Macaca fascicularis: one gene and its partners. The protein of the gene in region 3 interacts with the protein of the main gene of each other region in a biochemical or structural test. Links are inferred from orthologs where the notes say so. Each region holds a gene or a part of one and is shown on either strand. Other genes may lie near its edges.

Evidence for each region.
Region 1: of the proteins of CDH1 (region 3) and CCNB1, one has a biochemical effect on the other in vitro, tested with the Homo sapiens proteins (3 studies listed by BioGRID). The link is inferred for Macaca fascicularis from reciprocal best matches to the Homo sapiens genes CDH1 and CCNB1.
Region 2: the proteins of CDH1 (region 3) and CTNND1 form a complex in vitro, tested with the Homo sapiens proteins (5 studies listed by BioGRID and IntAct, with this or other methods). The link is inferred for Macaca fascicularis from reciprocal best matches to the Homo sapiens genes CDH1 and CTNND1.

Annotation. Positions count from the first base shown.
Region 1 is NC_088380.1:74,833,618-74,841,704, forward strand, and holds part of CCNB1 (G2/mitotic-specific cyclin-B1), read left to right. Parts: intron 1-1,039; coding exon 1,040-1,222; intron 1,223-4,291; coding exon 4,292-4,450; intron 4,451-4,926; coding exon 4,927-5,163; intron 5,164-5,446; coding exon 5,447-5,587; intron 5,588-5,877; exon of another isoform or gene 5,878-5,979; intron 5,980-7,147; coding exon 7,148-7,258; intron 7,259-7,426; coding exon 7,427-7,534; 3' UTR 7,535-8,087. UniProt on the Homo sapiens protein: Essential for the control of the cell cycle at the G2/M (mitosis) transition.
Region 2 is NC_088388.1:15,794,423-15,802,509, forward strand, and holds part of CTNND1 (catenin delta-1), read right to left. Parts: intron 6,783-8,087; coding exon 6,319-6,782; intron 5,187-6,318; coding exon 5,003-5,186; intron 4,158-5,002; coding exon 4,040-4,157; intron 2,939-4,039; coding exon 2,785-2,938; intron 2,385-2,784; coding exon 2,367-2,384; intron 1,932-2,366; coding exon 1,863-1,931; intron 413-1,862; coding exon 285-412; intron 183-284; coding exon 32-182; intron 1-31. UniProt on the Homo sapiens protein: Key regulator of cell-cell adhesion that associates with and regulates the cell adhesion properties of both C-, E- and N-cadherins, being critical for their surface stability.
Region 3 is NC_088394.1:64,895,849-64,903,935, reverse strand, and holds part of CDH1 (cadherin-1), read right to left. Parts: intron 6,871-8,087; coding exon 6,726-6,870; intron 5,388-6,725; coding exon 5,212-5,387; intron 4,937-5,211; coding exon 4,808-4,936; intron 3,735-4,807; coding exon 3,552-3,734; intron 1,215-3,551; coding exon 970-1,214; intron 1-969.

The DNA of each region.
Region 1 (8,087 bases), on a different chromosome or scaffold from region 3:
TGGGCCTCCCAAAGTGCTGGGATTACAAGTGTGAGCCACCGCGCCCGACCTTATTTCTTTACTTTGTCTACTAAATTCAGAGTCCCTTGAGGATGCCATGAAGTCAATGCCTTGTAGAGTTTGACTTGAAGAAGGGGCTCAATAAATGTTTGAACAATGGGATAAAGGGAGCTTGAAGGAAGTGGTTAATGGTAATGAAGTTAATCCTTAGTAGTCAGGATAGAATTTATGTTATTTTGAGTAGTGAGAAGCAGTTTATATTTTGAAATAAAGACTAAAGACTGAACTGTCCTTTATTTGGATTAACTTCACATGTTGCTGATAAAGATTAATTACTTCTCAGTTTCCTTTGCAGGAAAGTCTAGAATGTGAATTTATTTGCTTCCAACTTTAAACTGACTCACTCTGAGTTGGCATTTCACTCTTTTTTTTTTGCCCAGGCTGGAGCAGAATGGCGCAATCATAGCTCACTGTATCCTCAAACTGCTGGGCTCAAGTGATCCTCCTACCTTGGCCTCCTGAGTAGCTAGGATTATAGGCAGTTGCCTTCATGCCCAGCTAATTTTTTGTAGAGATGAGTTATTGCTATATTGCCCAGGCTGGTCTCGAACTCATGGTCTCAAAGGATCCTCCCACCTCAGCCACCCAAAGAACTGCGATTACAGGCTTGAGCCACCATGCCCGACCTCATTCTTTTTAATTGAGTAATTAAATGATCACTTTCTTTTTTAACAAAGACAGGGTCTTGCTATATTGCCAAGGCTTGTCTTGATCTCCTGGCCTCAACCTCAGCCTCTCAAAGTGCTGAGATTAAAGGCGTGAGCCACCACGCCCAACCCAAATGATCACTTTGGATGTTAATCACTTCCTAAAAAGAAATGGAATAAGTATGAAAAGATACTTTTCCTTTAAGGAAATGAATTGTATGTTGATTCAGGAGAACACTATCTTGAGTTGGTACCAATAACCTGACCTTCAAGCCCAAACTATAGTGCTTACTCCTATTTGCTCTTGTTTCAAGAGATCTCTTTGTTTTAAGGTCGATACTCCCTCTCCAAGCCCAATGGAAACATCTGGATGTGCCCCTGCAGAAGAAGACCTGTGTCAGGCTTTCTCTGATGTAATTCTTGCAGTAAATGATGTGGATGCAGAAGATGGAGCCGATCCAAACCTTTGTAGTGAATATGTGAAAGATATTTATGCTTATCTGAGACAACTTGAGGTCAGTATTATCATTAGTTTTTTTTCTAAACTGCATCTAACTTTATGAAAGTCTTTTCTATCAATAGTTCATAATAATTCAAGCAGGACTTGGGCAGCATTTCTTAAGAGATCGCACTTTCAAATTCTCCTTCATGGAATACCTAAAATAAAAAGTCACTAAATCAATGGAGTCTATTTGCCACTTTGTGCAGGAAAGTTCGAAGTCAGGGTGGATACTACTATCGGTCTTTCTGAAGGAAAGTCCACAGATTGAATTTGATATGTATATATGCAATCTCCACCGTATTTGGAATGGTTAAGTCCCAAACTCTGCATTTTAGGTAATAATGGGTCAGCAAGTGGATGAGAATGTAGAATATACTCAAAGACTACAGCCACCCCTAACACAAGGCATTTTGTGTTAGTGTGGCTGATGTGCGTCCAGTTGTTGGTGAAATTATTTGTGCCCAAAAGGAGTACACTCAAAAGCTACTTTTTGGTTCACTTCAATTTGATCCCACTTTTGAAACTTTCTCTTAATGGCATTTGCCCTTTTCCTACAAACACAAGTATTCTATATGGCAGCATAAACATAGTAGCGTCAACTATACCGTTATCACATTTACCTAGTTTTTTGGTGTGTGTGTGTGTGTGTGTGTGTGTTTTTTTTTTTTTTTTTTAGAGGGAGTCTCACACTGTCGCCCAGGCTAGAGGGCAATGGTGCCGTCTCAGCTCACTGCAATCTGCCTCCTGGGTTCAAGCAAGTAATTCTCCTGCCTTAGTCTGCCGAGTAGTTGGGATTGCAGGCACACACCACCATGCCTGGCTAATTTTTTGTATTTTTATTTGGTTTTGGTTTTTTGAGACAGGGTCTTGCTCTGTTGCCCAGGCTGGAGTGCAGTGGTGCAATCTCGGCTCACTGCAACCTCTGCCTCTCGGGTCAAGTGATTCTCATGCCTCAGCCTCCTGAGCAGCTGGGATTACAGGTGCCCACCACAACACCCAGCTAATTTTTGTACTTTTAGTAGAAATGAGGTCACCATATCGGCCAGGCTGGTCTCAAACTCCTTAGATGATCCACCCACCCGGCCTCCCAAAGTGCTGGGATTACAGGCATGAGCAGTCGTGCCCAGCCCCCAGTTGTTTTTAATGCATCGTCTTAATGTCATCACTGACATCTCTTGCCTGCTCCTTTGGGGCCTCTCCTTTTTCTATAGGATTCTTCTGCAAGACTTCTATGCCAGGAGTAGCCTTCTGCTTTGAGTTTCTTCTGCCATCTTTTTAGGGCTTTTTAAAGTTGTGTTCTAACTTTGGAGGATACCTTTTTTTTTTGAGACAGTCTCGCTGTGTCACCCAGGGGGTGTGCCGTGGCTCACTGCAAGCTCCGGCTCCCAGGTTCACGTCATTCTCCTGCCTCAGCCTCCTGAGTAGCTGGGACTACAGGCACGTGCCACCATGCCTGGCTAATTTTTTGTATTTTTAGTAGAGACAGGGTTTCACCATGTTAGCCAGGATGGTCTCGATCTCCTAACGTCATGATCCACCCACCTTGGCCTCCCAAAGTGCTGGGATTACAGGCATGAGCCACCGTGCCCAGCCTGTAAATGTGCTGTTTCTTGATGCTTCGTTCTTGTTCTGTGCAAGGCGGCCATATATGCAAAGCAACCCCCCAAATGTCAGAGGAGCTGAGAAACCAAGGAATGAGGCAGATAAATGGAGTTTGCTGGTATTGGGTGACTGATGAGGGGGAATTTACAGACATAAGTCTGGTCTTTGATGGCTGTAAGATGTAGATCTCTGCACTGTAACCCCTCATACCCACGGCTTGAGTATGTATACATTTTCTTGGGGAAAGTATACGTGCTCTAGAATCAATGTGCGGGTGGCTGAGAGAATGCTACAGACATCATAGCCTATAATGTATACAATAGTATGAAGGGCTGTTTTGGAGGAGAGGCCAAACTTAAAGTGAATAGGCAGAAGGCACATTGGATTAGCATTTAAAATAAAGTCACTCTTGTCCCCCACAGTTCTTAGCTATGTTGCTGTTGGGCTTTAACCCTGGAGCAGGCAGGAGTGTTGTAGTACATGGGTTCCAGCTGCCCTGGGAGTTTGATATTTTCTCTACGTAAAGCTCAGGTTCTAACTTTAGAGGCTCAAGTGAAAAGATCTGAGATGATAGTATAGTATCTTTATTTGGAAGGGAGTGGACTAGCAAGAGTTGTGGTGAATTGAATATCGTAAGACCTGACAATATAAAAAAGCTGTCACACTGTCCTATCTAATGTTTGCCCTTTTTTGGCGGGGGGGTGAAGGGGGAACAGTCTCTCTCTGTCACCCAGGCTGGAGAGCAGTGGTGCAATCTCGGCTACCTGCAACCTCCACCTCCTGGGTTCAAGCAATTCTCCTGCCTCAGCCTCCTGAGCAGCTGGGACTACAGGTGTGCGCAACCATGCCCAGCTAATTTTTGTATTTTTAGTAAAGAGAGGTTTTGCCATGTTGGCCAGGCTGGTCTCGAACTCCTGGCCTCAAGCAATCTGCCCATCTCAGCCTCCCAAAGTGCTGGGATTACAGGCATGAGCCACCACGCCAGCCTTAATGTTTGCTTTCTTTCTTGGTGATGGTGTTGTTTGTGGTTACCATATGAATAATTGAATTAAGAACTGATACAAAGGCTGGGCACAGTGGCTCACGCCTGTAATCCCAGCACTTTGGGAGGCCAAGACAGGTGGATCACGAGGTCAGGAGATCGAGACCATCCTGGCTAACACAGTGAAACCCCGTCTCTACTAAAATACAAAAAAAAATTAGCCGGGCGTGGTGGCGGACGCCTGTAGTTCCAACTACTCGGGAGGCTGAGGCAGGAGAATGGCATGAACCCGGGAGGCGGAGCTTGCAGTGAGCCGAGATCGCGCCACTGCACTCCAGCCTGGGCGACAGAGCGGGACTCCGTCTCAAAAAAAAAAGGAACTGATAGAGATTCTAAATGCCCCAGTGCTACTTACTGTAGGAACTAACTGATCTTTCTGGACATAAATGTGTCACATGGAGTCATGTTTCTAAGAATAATCGGCATTTTCTTTTGCAGGAAGAGCAAGCAGTCAGACCAAAATACCTACTGGGTCGGGAAGTCACTGGAAACATGAGAGCCATTCTAATTGACTGGCTAGTACAGGTTCAAATGAAATTCAGGTTGTTGCAGGAGACCATGTACATGACTGTCTCCATTATTGATCGGTTCATGCAGGTAAGCATTTCAGTAAGTTTTCCCTTCCAGGATTCTAGCCGAGTCATAAGAAGCTGACGTTTTTGGGCTGGGCCGGGTGTGGCGGCTCATGCCTGCAATCCCAGCGGGCGGGTGGATCACGAGGTTAGGAGATCGAGACCATCTTGGCTAACACAGTAAAACCCCGTCTCTACTAAAAATACAAAAATTTAGCTGGGTGTGGTGGCGGGCGCCTGTCGTCCCAGCTACAGGAGGCGGAGGTTGCAGTGAGCTGAGATCGCGCCATTGCACTCCAGCCTGGGCGACAGAGTGAGACTCCATCTCAAAAAAAAAAAAAGAAAGAAAGAAACTGACTTTTTCAGCTAAAATCTTTCTTGGGGGATATGGTATCATTAATTTAAGATTTTGCAATGGGAGAATGTCTTTCTACCTCTCCATCATAGCTCTGTGTCTCCTTTTCAAACATGTTATTCATTGTGTTGAAATTCCCATTGCAGAATAATTGTGTGCCCAAGAAGATGCTGCAGCTGGTTGGTGTCACTGCCATGTTCATTGCAAGCAAATATGAAGAAATGTACCCTCCAGAAATTGGTGACTTTGCTTTTGTGACTGACAATACTTACACTAAGCACCAAATCAGACAGATGGAAATGAAGATTCTAAGAGCTTTAAACTTTGGTCTGGGTCGGCCTCTACCTTTGCACTTCCTTCGGAGAGCATCTAAGATTGGAGAGGTACAGGTTTCTTAAGAAACCTTTCGGTATGGGTACATTAGGGAACACTGCTGCTGACCAAGCAAGTCGAATTCAACTGACCTTATATTATACCTAACTACATGGGGAAGAGAGAAAGTTGTTCTTTATTTTTAGTCAGGCTGCATGTTAATATTAGGGCTTTCCGTGGGCATTTGAGAGTTTGTAGACAAACATTTGTAGTTAAAAGATACATATGGGCATGCAGGTTAGTGCCAAATGAAAATTTTCTGAAAGAAACTCAGTGACACAGGTTTTGTTTCAGGTTGATGTTGAGCAACATACTTTGGCCAAATACCTGATGGAACTAACTATGTTGGACTATGATATGGTGCACTTTCCTCCTTCTCAAATTGCAGCAGGAGCTTTTTGCTTAGCACTGAAAATTCTGGATAATGGTGAATGGGTAAGCTCTGTCCCACAGAACTCCTAAGCTTTTAAATTGTAAAGAATGTTTGACTAAATACAGAACTTTTGTTATTAAAGGGCAATTCAAGTGATTCATAAATATGGGATCTACTGAAGGAATAGTTTAAAAAGATGTCATAGAATGTTTCCACATGGTTTTGTTTTTGAGACAAGGTCTCGCTCTGTCGCCTGGGCTGGAGTGCAGTGATGCAGTCTTGACCCACTGCAACCTCAGCCTCCAGAGTAGCTGGGACTGAAGGTTTCTGGCTAGTTTTTAAATTTTTTTCATGTCAGACGGGTAATATGCCCACGTTGTAACAAGGTTTGAGGGTGGCACATTTCACACGTTCACATGAACACCCAATCATCACACTTATAAACTACAAGAGTCGCCCACCAGCCTGGGCAACGTAGCAAATCCTCATCTTTACAAATATATATATATATATATATATATATATATATATATATTCAGGTTGTTGCAGGAGACCATGTACATGACTGTCTCATCTTTACAAATATATATATATATACACACACAAATATATATATATACACAAATATATATATATACACACACAAATACATATATATACACAAATATATATATATAGAGAGAGAGAGGCACATGTCTGTAGTCCCAGCTACTCTGGAGGCTGACCTTTATATTTTTTGTAGACATGGCGCCTCCCTATATTACCCAGGCTGGTCTTGAAACCCTGGGCTCAAGCGATCTACCCACTTCCACTTACCAAAGTGTTGGAATTACAGGCGTGAGCCATTGCAACCAGTCAAGTGTTTCCATTTCTTTGCCTAATTTCAACTGTATTCCCTTTGAGAAAGGTAGAGCAACTTTTACTCCTTAGAGGAGAAACTTGAAGGTCAAATGACATACAAATAGTACATTCATATTCATTGATTCAGCAAATGCCTCTCCTATGTGGCAGGCACTACCCTAGGTGTTAAGAATAGAACTATGCAGCCGGGTGTGGTGGCTAACACCTGTAATCCCAGCACTTTGGGAGGCCAAGGTGGGCAGATCACGAGCTCAAAAGTTCAAGACCAGTCTGACCAATGTGGTGAAACCCTATCTCTACTAAAAATACAAAAATTAGCCAGGCATGGTGGTGCAAACCTGTAACCCCAGCTACTCAGGAGGCTGAGGCAGGAGAATCACTTGAACCCGGGAGGCAGAGGTCGCAGTGAACCAAGGTCACACCATGCACTCCAGCCTGGAGTGAGACTCCATCTCAAAAAAAAAAAAAAGAAAGAAAAGAATAGAACTATGACAAAGTTGGCCTCAAGGAAGAAGAGTCTAGTTTTAGGGTGGGCAAGTCAACAATTACAATAGTGCAATTGTGTTTGAGCAGAGGTTCCTATAGAAGCATGAGAGCACCTAGGAAAGGAGGAGTCTTTAGCTTTGTCTTACATTTCACTTATATTAATTAATGATACAGTACCCTTCCCTTCCCCACTCCTGAATAACATCAAACATCTAGAAACTTTATGAAAATCATTATCGATTGAGCATTTTTAACATTAACTTTTGTTGTCTTAGACACCAACTCTACAGCATTACCTGTCATATACTGAAGAATCTCTTCTTCTGGTTATGCAGCACCTGGCTAAGAATATAGTCATGGTAAATCAAGGACTTACAAAGCACATGGTGAGTCAATATAGTGGCATTGTAAGATGTCAAAAAGTCTAATAATTCAAACTTAATGCCTGCAAATGCCTGGTTTATTTTTAATGAGTTAATGTTTTAAATGAATACCTGTATCATTGGATCTTGTGATTTTTTCCCCTCTTTAATGGCTATCCTTTTGTCTTCCAGACTGTCAAGAACAAGTATGCCACGTCGAAGCATGCTAAGATCAGCACTCTACCACAGCTGAATTCTGCACTAGTTCAAGATTTAGCCAAGGCTGTGGCAAAGGTGTAACTTGTAAACTTGAGTTGGAGTATATATTTACAAATAAAATTGGCACCATGTGCCATCTGTACATATTACTGTTGCATTTCCTTTTAATAAAGCTTATGGCCCCTTTTACTTTTTTATAGCTTAACTAATTTGAATGTGGTTACTTGCTACTGTAGGGTAGCGGAAAAGTTGTCTTAAAAGGTATGGTGGGGAATATTTTTAAAAACTGCTTTTGGTTTACCTGGGGATCCAATCGATGTATATGTTTATATACTTGGTTCTTGTTTTATGTACCTGGCTTTTACTTTATTAATACGAATTACTGAAGGTGATGGAGGTATTTGAAAATTTTACTTCCATAGGACATACTACATGTAAGCCAAGTCATCATGGAGAATCTGCTACGTAGTTCTATTTTAAAGTAAAAGTCTACCACCAAATCCCTAGTCACCCTGTTAGAATTGTTTCTTCTGGTGATTGCTGCCATAATTCTAAGTTATTTACTTTTACCACTATTTAAGTTATCAACTTTAGCTAGTATCTTCAAACTTTCACTTTGAAAAATGAGAACTTT
Region 2 (8,087 bases), on a different chromosome or scaffold from region 3:
TTGAGGTAATAGTGAGCATTCAACTCCTCACCAATTAATTCTTTGTTGCGAGCATCCACAGCCAGGTTTCTCAGTGCTCCAGACGCAGCTTTCACCACCCGTTCATGTTCATTAGTCAGGAGGTCAGCTATGGCAGAAAGAGCCTTCTCTTGACGCAGAGCAGAGCGAATGTATCGACCATACTAGAATAGCACATAGAAAGGGGTAGAACAAATTACAAATGGCAGCAAACTAGTTATCTAAGTTTTCCCATCTCCAAATCCATTTTCTAAAAGGTACTTTACCGTCCAGCGCCCAGCACACAAATTCTGGATAGCTCCAGCTGAGGCTTCTAAGATGGCAGGAGTCTTGCTCTCCTTAAGAAGTGAGATGTATATCCGAACCACCTCTGGCTGAAATAAGAGCTCATAGCCTGCACAAAAGAGAAAAAGAAGGCAGAAGGTGCTAATCAGTACCAATAAACCAGGCTCTAGCTGGCTGGAGTTCAGCCTTAATACTCCCGATTGATGTTCTATACCATCAGGTTCCCTAAACTCTCTCACACTCTCTACAGCAAATTTAGAGGCCAAATTCCATGTCTTAAGAATAATGAGGCCAGGCGCAGTGGCTCAACACCTGTAATCCCAGCACTTAGGAGGCCAAGGCGGGCAGATCACGAGGTCAGGAGATTGAGACCATCCTAGCTAACACGGTGAAACCCCGTCTCTACTAAAAATACAAAAAATTAGCTGGGCGTGATGGCGGGCGCCTATAGTCCCAGCTACTCGGGAGGCTAAGAGCAGGAGAATGGCGTGAACCTGGGAGGCGGAGCTTGCAGTGAGCCGAGTTCACGCCACTGCACTCCAGCCAGAGTGAGACTCCGTCTCAAAAAAAAAAAAAAAAGACTAATGAATCCATGGTAAGATTGGAACAAATATCAACTCATTATACTCAACTCCTCTCTTTCCTTCCTTCTTGCCTCCTCTCCCATAGCTTTGCCTTTGGTTCTACCATGAGCGCTCAGGGGCTCCATTTAGCTCATTGACAGCACTCAAGGTTAAAAATTCCTCATCTCAAATCAATTATTTCTAACTTAACCCAGTCATTCTTCCCATCTTTGCAATTACTACGACGGTCCATTACAGATTAAACGTTTATAATTTTTATATCCATGGAGAGCTGTGAACTTTGGACTCACTGTATTGATGAATATAAAGATCCAAATTTCTTATAGTAAAGTGTAAAAATTATCTTTTCTTTTCTTTTGGAGACGAGTCTCTGTCACCCACGCTGGAGTGCAGTGGCGCGATCTCAACTCACTGCAACCTCCGCCTCCCGGGTTCAAGCGATTCTCCTGCCTCAGCCTCCAGAGTATCTGGGATTACAGGCACCCGCCACCATGCCCAGCTAATTTTTGCATTTTTAGTAGGGACAGGGTTTCACCATGTTGGCCAGGCTGGTCTCAAACGCCTGACCTCAGGTGACCTGCCCGCCTCAGCCTCACAAAGTGCTGGGATTACAGTCATGAGCCGCCGCCCCCAGCCTAAAAAGTATCTTTCTTAGTAAAGGAGCTTCTTTTAAAAGTGAGGTTTAAGTCTCAGGCACTGTAGTGGTCATTTATGGTTCCCAAATTTCTGCTCTAGACTACCATCAGGACCTTATTCTATCCTCAAGTAACCTGAATAACTGCCTTAACAAGTAGTCCTTTGTAAGTTACTGCTGTAATACTATACAGCTTCCCAATACTTTCACAATCATTTCAGTCTGTAAGTTGGAAAAGAGAGGACAATAAACATATTACATAAAGTCTGCTGTTAAGTTACCAAATATCTTATCTTTGTACTATGTTTATGAGACCTTTGGAGACTGAGAAGATAACTTACCCCGAGCTGGACTCGTTCTTTTAGGGAAATCCACTGTGTCATTTGCTGGATCCTCTATGGGTTTTTTCCCTATAAAAACGAAAAAGGGCAGGAAAAGGGGTAAGTCAGTTTAAAATAGAAAAGATTCCACCTGGCACATTTTTCATTCTTCGGTCAGAACCTTTTGATCACAGATGCACCACGAGGGACAAAGGGCAGGTGGGGGCAACTTGTTCCAGCAGGGGACTATTCAGAAACAAGGATAGAAAACAGGCAGCAGATAGGTAAGATGAGGATGACCATTGTTGATGCTATTGTCCTGAGCTCTGATAATGGGGACTGCTGCCCAGAAACAGCATGCCATGAGCTATTAGCTCCAAAGAGCTAAACCTGTTTCAGTGTCTTCCTCAACTGAACTTTCCTACATGCATAGACAGGGAAAGGTTAGGCAAGGACATACTAGGGAAGCTAAAACCAAAACATGCAAATTAGAAGTAGATAAGCACCTTAAAAGACTCCACTCACCTCTGGAGAACCACTCATCTTCCAGTGCATCACCCAAGGCAGAAAGCAGAGAAGAGAAAAGAAATAAGAAAAATGCAGGAGAAAGATGTCAGCAGAATCATGGGCAAATAAGCAGGGAAGCACAGAGAAGAAAAGAAAAACACAGAAAATGCAAAGGACGTATGGGGAAGAAGGTCCCAGATTAGTTGAGTTCTCATTTTCCACTGCCCCACTCATTGATACCACCACCACCACCACCATCACCCCACCACCAAACCTTGAATGAAGCACACAACACAGGAGAAGCAGCAAAGCAAAAAGACATCTGTAACCAGGCAGACTCCCATATTGCTTGCCAAGTATTTTGTATCTTAAGCTAAAGTGTTCCTTCCTTTCCCTGTCCCACATTAAAGAGTAAGAAACAGGAACCAAGACTCACCTTTGCCCTTCTTGGCCCCAAAGCAACTGGCAGCATGTGGCCCAGTATTGTTGGCAACATTGGGAGCTGCCTCTTGGTAACGCTCTGCCTGTGGGATCTCCCGGTGAACTTGATATGATAAGTTCCGAAGGAGGCAAACACAGTTTTCTACAAGCTTAGGTACACAAGATAAAAGGGCCAATGAGAAAAAAGAATGTCTGTTGTGATTTCTCCACAGGTTTCCATGACTCAGGTATTAAAATGTTGATATTCAAATGCATAACCCAATCCATAACTTCTCAGGATGCCTCTTAAGCGCTCCAGGCTTCTTGAAATCCCTGTAGCCTCAGGCTAATGGAAGGCCCAACTATGGACTTATTGGCTTCTGCCACTATTTGGTGTGTGACTGAAACTTGGATCATCATTCTTACTACTTAGACAATGTACAATTTTGGAAGACAGCTAAGCAGCTTTAAAATATATAGGTGACAGATTTTTAAAAAAAGAAAAAAAAGCTGGGCACAGTGACTCACACCTGTAATCCCAGCACTTTAGGAGGCTGAAGCAGGTGGATCACCTGAGGTCGGGAGTTCAAAACCAGCCTGGCCAACATGGTGAAACCCTGTCTCTACTAAAATACAAAAACTAGCTGGGCATGGTGGCAGGTGCCTATAATCCCAGCTACTCAGGGGCTGAAGCAGGAGAATCGCTTGAACCCAGGAGGGAGAGGTTGCAGTGAGCCGAGATCATGCCAATGTACTCCAGCCTGTGCGACAGAGCCAGACTCCATCTCTAAAAACAAACAAATGAACAAAACACATGTTTTCTTTTAAGTTGAATGCCCACTTTAAGGAGTAGGGGCTTGGCTGGGCACAGTGGCTAACGCCTGTAATCCCAACACTTTGGGAGGCTGAAGTGGATGGATCACGTGAGGTCAAGAGTTTGAGACCAGCCTGGCCAACATGGTGAAATGTACTAAAAATACAAAAATTAGCTGGGCGTGGTGGTGCACGCCTATAGTCCCATCTACTTGGGAGGCTGAGGCACGAGAATCACTTGAACCCAGGAAGCGGAGGTTGCAGTGAGCTGAGATCACATCACTGTACCCCAGCCTGGACAACAGAGTAAGACTCTGTCTCAAAAATAAGGGGTAGGGGCCAGTAAAAATAGTTAACATTACTTGAAAGCCTGAGATGATAGGTCTCTGAGCTACAGATACTTCATAGTTCTGGTGAATGGAATTCACTCAGTCATTAAAGGTAAGACAAGCACTTACCTTGCTGTCTGAATCCTTCTGCCCAATCTCAGCCTGAACAATGAAAATGAGGGCATCAACTAAACCATCACATTCCCGAAGTTTCCGGCGAGCTTCACTCCTCTCTGAGCTTACATTCCTGAGGGGAAACCAGAAGCTTCAAGATGACTCAAATCCAGAAATCCTCCCTTAAATATCCCTCAACACCTACAAGATTCCTGAATATTTTTTTCTACTCACTATAATAGCGAATACTTATCATAAGCAAGGTACTGCAGTTCAGAGAAAGTTGATTAACAGTCCCCACCTTCTGAATGTCTGTATCACTGTGGGGTAGGGGTTAATGATATATACCAGATGCAGTAATTCAAGATGGAATATACACTTCTTGTATGGAAGTATAATACATATGTAGAACAGAGCACACAGAGGTGTATTCCAAAGAGAGACAGATTATATAGCAGCATGTATAGCATATAAAAATAAGTCAGGAAAATTTTAATAAAATAAAGGCACTTGAGTTTAACTACAAAAAGATAAATAAGAAGAGAAAGGCATTCACGGAAAGAACAGACCTTCCTCACCCATGCCCTAACCTCCTAGTGCTCTGTACCTCTTTTGCTGCATTTATCACAGCCTGACTTGAAATACAGATAACTAGGGCAAGGACACAGACAAGTCCAGGACTAGACCACCTTACATGTGGTAGATGCTGAACAAAAGCTTACCAAAGTAGATGAACAAAGTCAAAGAGGCATAAAAGTGAAGAGGATGTGTGGGGAACAGCAAGAAAACTGACATAGGTACATGTGGTACGCATAAGAGAATAGCAACAAAGGTAGAAAGACAGGTTGGAGTTACAGTATGCAATACAGATAGGAATGGAGGCTAAAGAATAGGCTAAAGAATTTTAATTGTTTTTTAAGGAAATTTAAGTCAGTCCTCAAAAATTCACCTTCATATTCTCAAAGCCCCTATTGTTACCTAAGGCAGCCAGCTGTGTTGGTGAGCACCGATTCCCACTCAATATGGCGTGGCTTACAGTCTTCATTAGGTTCCCGCTCCCAACCAGAATGAGGAATGATCACTTCATCTGTCAAGGCATGCAGTGCATGGTCCACAATCTCCATTTTGATTGAGTCATGGGATGAAAGATTCCACAGGGTTCCTGGAAGAGACAACTCATCAGATGGCTCTTGAGCATTCAAGACAACATGTCTGAAGAACATCAAAGAGAATCCCCTATTATATCATTTCTCAGTCTTCCCCAGTGACCAAATACCTTGTAGTAATATTCAAGTTTTGTTTGTGAACCTCAGCAAGAAACATGTTCTATATTACAGCTCAAAATAAACATACAGATCATGAAATAAGGTTTTGTAAAGCAATATTTAACGATAAGCAATGCTCTCCGATCTATCTATACCAGAGTTTTTCAACCTCAGCACTACTGACATTTTGAGCCAGATAATTCTTTGCTATGAGGAGCTGTCTTGTCTATTGCTGGATGTTTAGCAGTATACCTAGCCTTTACTCACTAGATGCCAGTAGCACTCCCTCTCCCCTGTTCTAAGTTATAACAACCAAAAACATCTCCAACACTACAAATGTCCAAATGTCCTCAGGGCAGGACAGGCAAAATGGCCCACAACTGAGAAGCAATGGTCTATATTACTTTTTCTTTATTCCTTTCCCTTGGAATGCTGATTATGCTCCACAAAATTGTGTTTTATTCACTAATGGATCACACAAATAGATCACAACCCACAATCTGAAAAACTACTGCTCTAAATAAAGCAAGGACCACAAGCTTAAATGTCTATATGGGCCAAGCAGGTGAGTCAAGAGAGGAAGATATTTAAAAGAAATTACAAGCATGTGAAAAAATAGCAGTTGACAGCTCCATGTTTGGGAAACAACATCCTAAACGGCTGTAGTTGGTCAGATAATAGAATGTGTTGGAGATTAGTGTAAATTAGAGAACACATGCTCCAATCAGTTCAGACCAAATACTGCTAGAAAAGAAAAGAGATCCATTGTTAACAACTTTTCCACATTTTTAATAGAAGCCAAGAATCTGGAATTTTAAGTGAAATCTTCTGAATTTTAAACATCAGCAACCAGTTCTTTAAAATTTCAAAAATGCTGTGTGATCCAAACAAATCTGTGAGATGGATTTGACCCAAGGCCACCAGTTCACAACCTTTCATCAAAAGTAAAAGGTCTGGAAATCCCTCTAGTTCTTAACATCACTAGAGAGTAACAGTGACTTAGCAATTTTCCTTAGGCCTAGAACTCACCGGTAATGACTTCAGTAAGGTCCATATCACGAGCCTTTCGGAGCAATCGCACAAGGGCAGGCACACCATCACAGTTTTTTATGGCAATCTTGTTATCCTGGTCACGTCCAAAAGAGATATTCTTGAGAGCTCCACAGGCTCCAAGGTGCACTTCCTTTTTGGGATGGTCTAACAATCCCACCAGTACTGGGATGCCCTTGAGCTTCCGCACGTCAGTCTTCACCTTGTCATTGCGGTAGCATAAGTGTTGCAGGTATGCAGCTGCATTGGACTTGACAGCATCCAAGCGGAATCCAAGCATGGCGATCACCTCTGGCAGCTCTGGCTGTCTCCAATTAGGAGGTGGGGGCCCTCCTTTGCGCAGGCTATCCAAGCTTGCTAAACTTCCTCGCTCATGCTGGGCCAAAGGAGCCCAATAGTATTGATCCGATGGCACCTCCTCACCAATCATGTCTTCGTAGCTCCTGAGAAGTTTTGGAATAACCAAGAGAATACATCAAGTCATTATGGCTAGCTTCCTGGACATTCCCATTACCCTCATCTGCAAAGCAGGATTAACTGGAGTTTCAGTGTGCTCATCTTCTCTCTCCTTTGCATGAATAATATACTGATCAATTTTCCTCAATGGGTTAGGAAAAATAAAAGGTAATAATCTTAAAGGCACCTACAATTTAATTAAAACTACACTTTTTTCTTTGAAGTCTGCAGGGTTAGAAAGTAACAAGCATTCAGGAGAGGCTAATCAAAAAGAAAGAACCAAATCCTTATTATTTATCATTTACTTGAATGATACCTGACAGCTATTAACTTTTCTAGGTAGAGATCAGGATAAACTCTCAAAAAGCAGAATTAACCAAAGCAACTGACTCAATGCCACAGAAGTCTGAGAACAGTTCCTTAACCAAACAGGAAATTAGGCATTTACACACAGGAAACAACTGGCGGGTTAAGACCTTTAAATGCATTTCATATTTAAGCTTCTCCTTATCCTATTTTGGAAATTATAAAAGATGGATTGATAGAGAAAAACTAATAAAGGGCTTCCTGCTACATTATAGGAGGATCTGGGTTTGGTACTGATGAGGTATAAACTTGAAAAGTAATTTTCACAGTCATCCCAAGGTCATGTCTGCTACTCAACAAATGTGTTAGCGGTAAGATTCCATCCTCCAATTTCTAAAGACAGTACCTCCAGTTCTTTCAAAATTGAGCCTATTCACCAACATCACATTTGGGAAGCCCAGCCACTAGGAACAGAGAAAGCAATTGAAAGTAAGAAAAATCAAACCAGGAGACAATTCTTCCTGTTTCAGTACTACCAACAACCACTAGAGGGTGAGTCTGTCACACTATTATTTATTCATAACTACCAGGAAGAAAGAAACCCATTATCTGTGAGCTCATCTCTTCTGGCTCCCACAGGAGAGGAGAATCTATTGTGTGGAGCTCTCCAAATAAGCCGTTGTTTGTTCTACAAAACCACTCCCACTGTCACCAAATACTCAAAGTTGCCCTGAGCAGAAGGGCTGCCTCACAGGTATCAACATCAACTATGCAACAGTGATTCAGATGGACAAAGTATTTAGTAAAACATGACCAAGATGGTCTTAAAATAACACGGAAACAGGACCAGGCGTGGTGGCTCACATCTGTAATCCCAGCACTTTGGGAGGCTGAGGTGGGCGGATTACCTGAGGTCAGAAGTTCAAGACCAGCATAGCCAACATGGCAAAACCGTATCTCTACTAAAAATATAAAAATTAGCTGGG
Region 3 (8,087 bases):
CTCACTCTGTCGCCCAGGTTAGAGTGCAGTGGCTCGATCTCAGCTCACTGCAACCTCAACCTTTTGGGTTCAAGTGATTCTCGTGCCTCAGCCTCCCAAGTAGCTGGGATTACAGGTGTGCACCACCATGCCTGGCTAATTTCTTGTGTTTTTAGTAGAGGCAGGGGTTTCACCATGTTGGCCAGGCTGGTCTTGAACACCTGGCCTCAACATGATCCACTTGCTAGACCTCCCAAAGTTTTGGGATTACAGGCATAAGCCGCTGCACCCAGCCCAAAATGAGAGTATTTTAAAGCAAGTGTTGTAGTTGGTTGGTTGGTATGTGGGTTTTCAGCATCTGTGTGATTTACATTATAGAGGTACCTTCAAGTTTGAAAGGAGAAATACTAATAGTAAGCTACTCAGAACACAACACTATGGGCTGGGTGCGGGGGCTCACGCCTGTAATCCCACCACTTTGGGAGGCGGGCAGATCACTTGAGGTCAGGAGTTCGAGACCAGCCTGGCCAATGTGGTGAAGCCTCATCTCTACTAAAAATACAAAAATTAGCCGGGCGTGGTGGCGGGCACCTATAATCCTGGCTACGTGGGAGACTGAGGCATGAAAATTGCTTGAACCCAGGAGACAGAGGCTGCAGTAGGCAGAGATCACCACTGTATACTAGCCTAGGTGACAAAGTGAGACTCCAAACACAAAAAAACACACTATTGTGTATGCAAAGTAAAATCACATTTCTACCATACTACAAGAGCTCAAAGAGAGGCAGCACATCAGACCAAGAACGGCTGTCTGTAGAGGGAAGGGAACAGGTGAAAGGAGTACAGATAAAGGGAATAAAAAATAAATTAAGAGAATGGTCTTGTACAGACAAATGACAAAATGCCATGAACTATGTATTATTGATTTATATATAAAATGATATAAAATACCCAGCTGCTGTAAGTCAGTTGAAAAATCCTCACACTTACGTTATTTTCTGTTCCATAAATGTGTCTGGCTCCCGGGCAGTGTAGGATGTGATTTCCTGGCCCACGCCAAAGTCCTCGGACACTTCCACTCTCTTTTCTGGAGGCACAAAGATGGGGGCTTCGTTCACATCCAGCACATCCACGGTGACAGTGGCTGTGGAGGTGGTGAGAGAGACCTCAAAAGGCGCCACGTTCGTCACTGCCACGTGTAGAATGTACTGCTGCTTGGCCTCAAAATCCAAGCCCTAGAGAGCAGAAACAATGAAGTTAAAAACAAAACAAAACATTTTGTGTTAGTAAAAATGAAATTAAATCCTTAACTGTTGCTTTTGGTAATACAGTAGGTTGGTGCAAAAGTAACTGTGGTTTCTGCCATGACTTTCAATGGCAGAAACCATAATTACTTACCAGGGCTTCTCAGATCTGCTCACCTACTCAAGAGGAAGTCAAAGCTCTGGGGCTATTCTAGGGATCCAGTCACTTCAACAAGCAATTCACTCAAATTCTTAGTTTTCAAGTTTCTTTCCTTATTTTGTTTCTGAGACAGAATTTTTGCTCTTGTCACCCAGGCTGGAGTGCAATGGCTCACTGCAACCTCTGCCTCCCAGCTTCAAGCAATTCTCCTGCCTCAGCCTCCCTAGTAGCTGGGATTACAGGAGCCTGCCACTACACCTGGCTAATTTTTTGTATTTTTAGTAGAGATGATGTTTCACCATGTTGGCCAGGCTGGTCTCAAACACCTGACCTCAGGTGATCAACCCACCTTGGCCTCCCAAAGTGTTGGGATTACAGGACTGAGCAACTGTGCCTGGCTACCTTTTTTTTTTTTTTTTTTTTTTTAAAGAGACGGAGTCTCGTTATATTGCCCAGGTTAGAGTACAGTGCCATGATCATAGCTCAGTGCAGTGTCAACCCCCTGGGCTCAAGTGATCCTCCCACCTCAGCCTCCCAAGTAGTTGGACCCACCGCCATGCACTACTGTGCTTGGCTAGTTTTCAAGTTTCTAGGACATTTTTCAAAAACAACCATATCTGCCCCACTTCTAAAATAAACCAGCACAAGAGCAGAGACCAGTAAATCATTTTCCCTCTCATTGCAAAATGGAAAGAGCTAAGGGAAAGAGAATGTTTTGGGAAAGAGCCTTTTTCAATTTCAGGATCCTGTGTAAGAGCTTCTTGATTTCTTCTTTCTTTCTTTTTTTTTTTTTTTTTTTTTTTTGAGACGGAGTCTCGCTCTGCCGCCCAGGCTGGAGTGCAGTGGCCGGATCTCAGCTCACTGCAAGCTCCGCCTCCCAGGTTCACGCCATTCTCCTGCCTCAGCCTCCCAAGTAGCTGGGACTACAGGCGCCCGCCACCGCGCCCGGCTAGTTTTTTGTATTTTTTAGTAGAGATGGGGTTTCACCGTGTTAGCCAGGATGGTCTCGATCTCCTGACCTCGTGATCCGCCCGTCTCGGCCTCCCAAAGTGCTGGGATTACAGGCTTGAGCCACCGCGCCCGGCCTTTTCTTTCTTTCTTTCTTTCTTTCCAGACAGAGTCTCACTCTGTTGCCCAGACCAGAGTGCAGTGGCATGATCTTGGCTCACTGCAACCTCTGTCTTCCAGGCTCAAGCAATTCTCCTGCTTCAGCCTCCCAAGCAGCCGGGATTACAAGTGTGCACCACCACATCCGGTTAATTTTTGTATTTTTGGTAGAGACAGGGTTTCACCATGTTGTCCAGGCTGGTCCCAAACTCTTGACCTCAGATGATCTGCCCCCCTTGGCCTCCCCAAGTGCTGGGATTACAGGCATGAGCCACCATGAGCCATCAAGAAGCCTTAGCTTCTTGATTTCTTTTTTTTTTGAGACGAAGTCTCACTCTGTTGCCAGGCTAGAGTGCATGGCACGATCATGGCTCACTGCAACCTCTGTCTCCCAGGTTCAAGTGATTGTCCTGCCTTAGCCTCCCTAGTAGCTGGGACCGCGCTAGTAGTGGGAGCACGCCACCACGCCCAGCTAATTTTTGTATTTTTAGTAGAGATGAGGTTTCACTATGTTGGTCAGGATGATCTCGATCTCTTGACCTTGTGATCTGCCCGCGTTGGCCTCCCAAAGTGCTAGGATTACAGGCATGAGCCCCCACGCCCGGCCTCTTTTTTTTCCCCCCCGAGATGGAGTCTTGCTCTGCTGCCCAGAGCTGGAATGCAATGGTGCGATCTCGGCTCACTGCAACCTCCACCTCCCAGGTTCAAGCAATTCTTCTGCCTTAGCCTCCCGAGTAGCTGAGATTACAGACGTGTGCCACCATGCCCAGCTAATTTTTGTATTTTTAGCAGAGACTCGAACTCCTGACCTCGTGATCCACCTGCCTCAGCATCCCACAGTGCTGGGATTACAGGCGTGATCCACCACACCCAGCCCAGTTTCTTGATTTCTTACATGGGCAGGAAGAGCCACTGCAAACCCCACATGGTCCACTAGAATCTGGGAAAGTCACCCTGTCCCCCTGCCAAAGCGAATCTACTTCTAAGAAGATACCAGGGGACAAGGGCATGAACAGCTTCAAGGATGCCAGTTTCTGCATCTTGCCATATACCATACAAACCTTTGCTGTTTTCAAAATGCCATCGTTGGTCACTGGATTTGTGGTGACAACAAATTGTCCGTCATTATCATTCAATATAGTGTATACAGCCTCCCACGCTGGGGTATTGGGGGCGTCAGCATCAGTCACTTTCAGTGTGGTGATTACGAAGTTCGCCTGGTTCTCAGGCACCTGACCCTTGTACTGCAGAGGAAAGAGATGGGTCATTTACAAAGTACCAAGACTGCTAGCAGAGCTGAGTCTCAGGGGGCTAAAGGAATCCTCTTTTTTTGTTGTTTGAGACAGGATCTCACTGTCATCAGGCTGGAGTGTATTGGAGCGATCATGGCTCACTGTAGCCTCAACCTCCTGAGCTCAAGCAATCCTCCCACCTCAGTCTCCAGAGTAGCTAGGACCACACACATGCGCCACCACACCTGGCTAACTGAAAGCAAGCTTCGAGGAGCAGATGTGACGAGGAGAGACCAGGCAATGGGCACATTGGGTTGCAATGGTGCAATCTCAGCTCACTGCAGCCTCCACCTCCTGGGTTCGAGCAACTCTCGTGCCTCAGCCTCCCAAATAGCTGGGATTACAAGCATGCACCAACATGCCCGGCTAATTTTTGTATTTTTAGTTGAAACGGGGTTTTGCCACGTTGGCCGGGCTGGTCTCAAACTCCGTCCTTAAGGCCGGGCTGGTCTCAAACTCCAAACAGCCTTGGCCTCCCAACTTGTTGGGATTACAGGTGTGAACTACCACGCCTGGCCATTATACAGGATGATTTAAACTTCCCCTACTTGGTTCTCAACACCTTCTCCTTGAATGCATGTAATATCCTTGGTGTTCAATAACTCTCATAAGATGTCTTCCTAGCTATAGTAGAAACACCATGAGAATAGAATCTTTGTCTGCTTTGTGTGTGATGGTATCTCCACTGTCTAACACAGTGCCTAATATAAACTTAGAAAATACGTGTTCAATGAAGAAATGAAACCCAGTAATAGTTGCTATAAAAATGTACCATATGCAGATAGGAAATCAGTAGGTGCTTTCTGCAACTTCACAATCTTGAGCCAATTGGCCCCAGGCCAAGGGTGGAAAAAAGATGCTAAAAGACAACTGCCATCTCAAGATGCTTGCTTTTAAGTTTAAAGTTAACATTCACTAGTCTGGAGAGAGTTTTCAAAGACTTTGCCCATGAGCAGTGGTGAAACTTAGTTCACGAACAACAAAAGACCTTTCTTTGGAAACCCTCTGAGGAGTTGTAGAATTACCGTGGTGGGATTGAAGACTGGAGGGTTATCATTGGTGTCAGTGACTGTGATCACAGCTGTTGCTGTTGTGCTTAACCCTTCACCTTGAAGGTCAGCCGCTTGAACCACCAGGGTATACATAGGGAAACTCTGCAGAGAGATCAATGCAACCAAGTTAGGACCAGGACTACCAGCCACCTCTGGCCTAGCCCAGCCCAACACATGGAACCAGAATATTTAACCATCTGCTTCACGCCAGTCAGCCTGTCTTCTAGGCACGGAACCTCTGGGCAGAAGCTTAGATGCAAAGCTCAGACCAACACTGTATTAACTGACAGGTGGCCTAGCAGGATTTTGCTTTGTCCACGGGATTGAGCTAATATACATTTGTCCTCCACACCCTCTGGATCCTCCTGACATCTGACCTCTCGGTCCAGCCCAGTGGTGACCACACTGATGACTCCTGTGTTCTTGTTAATGGTGAACATATTTTTGTCAGGCAGCTCAGGATCTTGGCTGAGGATGCTGTAAGCGATGGCGGCATTGTAGGTGTTCACATCATCGTCCGCGTCTGTGGCTGTGACCTCCATTACGGAGGTCCCTGGAAGAATTCAAGGAGACGAAGGTTTAGACAAACTGACCCTTTGGGACAGGGTCAGTATTGCTTAATCCAATTCTGCCCTGAGGGATAAAGGAGGGGACATGGGGGTGGTACCATGTCAGAGTTCCCCCATTATCTAATTCCTAGAATTCTTACCAAAGTGCTAGGGGAGGAAGAAAGCTCAAACTATCAATTTATTATTCAGGTATAAATAGACAAATGGTAATGAAGAAAAGAAAGGGAATGATTACCACAAAAGTCAGGGTGCGGTTATCTTTTTTTCTTTTTGAGACAGAGTTTTGCTCCCGTTGCCCAGGCTGGAGCGCAACGGCGCAAACTCGGCTCACTGCAACCTCTGCCTCCCAGGTTCAAGCGATTCTCCTGCCTCAGCCTCCCAAGTATCTGGGATTATAGGCATGCGCCACCACGCCCAGCTAACTTTGTATTTTTAGTAGAGACAGGGTTTCTCCATGTTGGTCAGGCTGGTCTTGAACTTCAGACCTCAGGTGATCTGCCTGCCTCCTCGGCCTCCTAACGTGCTGGGATTCCAGGCATGAACCACCGTGCCCAGCCTAGGGTGTGGTTATCTTTATGGAAGAGAGAAAAGAATGTGATCAAGGGAGATTGTTTAGGACTTTAAGGTACTGGCAAAGATCTGTTCCTTAATTAGGAAGGTTGTTCTTAGCCAGGTATAGTAGCTCATGCCTATAATCTTAGCAGCTTGTGGGGCTGAGGTTGGAGGATTGCTTGAGGCCAGGAGTTTGAAAGTAGCCTGGACAACAAAGTGAGACCCTATCTCTATAAATTTTTTTTTTTTTTTGAGACAGAGTCTGGATCTGTCACCCCAGCTGGAGTGCAGTGGCGCAATCTTAGCTCACTGCAACCTCCACCTACCAGGTTCAAGCAATTCTCCTGCCTCAGCCTCCCAAGTAGCTGGGATTACAGGCACACACCACCACGCCTGGCTAATTTTTTCGTATTTTTAGTACACATGAGGTTTCACCATGTTGGTCAGGCTGATCTTGAACTCCTGACTAGAGGTGATCCACCCGCCTTGGCCTCCCAAAGTGCTGGGATTATAGGCGTGAGCCACCATGCCCAGCCTAAAAAAAAAAATTTAACAAGAAAAAAGGGAAGATTGTTCTTAAACTCTGTTTTATGTGTTTCCATAGGTAGACTGTTATACACATGCATATAACACAACAATGGCTTCCCAAGAAGTTCTGTCCATAGGAAGGGTCAGCTTTAGTTACACAACCTTCGGGGTTGGACAACACTTTGGGGTCCAAAGAACCTAAGAGTCTTTCTGGATATTCAGATTCTCATTAGTGGATATACCTGGAAGAGCACCTTCCATGACAGACCCCTTAAAGACCTCCTGGGTGAACACGGGCTTGTTGTCATTCTGATCGGTCACCGTGATCAAAATCTCCATTGGGTCCTCAACTGCATTCCCGTTGGATGACACAGCATGAGAGAAGAGCTGAAAGAACCAAGTGAGGGTGAATTGAGCTCTGATGAGGAAGAAAATGTGGCAGAAGGAGCCCGGCCAGAGCAGAGTGTACTCCCTGGGCTGCCACACCCTCCCACTCTCTGAGACCCCAGTGGGTGACTTTTCTCACACATGTGCTGCTGCTGCTTCAATGAGATCATAACAAGGTAAGACCCATGGAGTGGAACACCCCCACTGGCTCAGACCTCCCATTTCCCACATGAGGACCAGGGCTTCAGGCCTAGAGATAAAGGTGGGGTCCTGAAGAACTCTTATTCCATGCAGGGTGAAACTTGCTCTGGTCCTTCTGGTCTAGCATTTCCCCCAGATATTTCTGAATTTGGCATCAATATATGACTTCCTGGCCAGGCATGGTGGCTCATGTAATCTCAGCACTTTGGGAGGCCAAGGTGGGCAGATTGCTTGAGCTCAAGCCTGGGCAACATAGCAAGATCTTGTTTCCACAAAAAATACAAAAATTAGCTGGGTGTGGTGGCCTGCGCCTTTAGTCTCAGCTACTCAGGAAGATGAGGTGGGAGTGTCGCTTGGGCCCAGAAGGTCCAGGATGCAGTGAGCTATGATTGTACTACTGCACTCCAGCCTGAGTGACATAGGTAGACTCTGTCTAAAAAAAAAAAAAAAAAAAAAAAAAAAAAAAAAAAAATTCCAAAACCAAAACCAAAACAAAAAAAATGACCTCTTGGAGGCCGGGCACGGTGGCTCACTCCTGTAATTCCAGCACTTTGGGAGGCCAAGTAGGGTGAATCACCTGAGTTCAGGAGTTTGAGACCACTCTGGCCAACATGGTAAAACCCCATCTTACTAAAAACACAAAAAATCAGCTTGGCGTGATGGCAGTTGCCTATAATCCAGTTACTCAGGAGGCTGAAGCAGGAGAATCACTTGAACCCAAAAAGTGGAGGTTGTGGTAAGCTGAGATCACGTTATTGCATTCCAGCCTGGGTGACAGAGCAAAACTCTATCTCAAAAAAAAAAAAAAAAAAACTTCTTGGTTTCCTCAAGCTCTTGCTGCTGCCAAGCCCAAGAAATGGGTTTTGTTCCCTTTTATCATCACTGTCCTGTTCTTTTAGGTCAGGGACTTCCAGCCCCAAGAACAGGTTGACATCTTGAGTCTAAATTTGCCCTGGTTGTATGAGGATGCATGGGGATTCTCCTTCCTTTCTTCCTGACAAGGAGAAAAATTAACA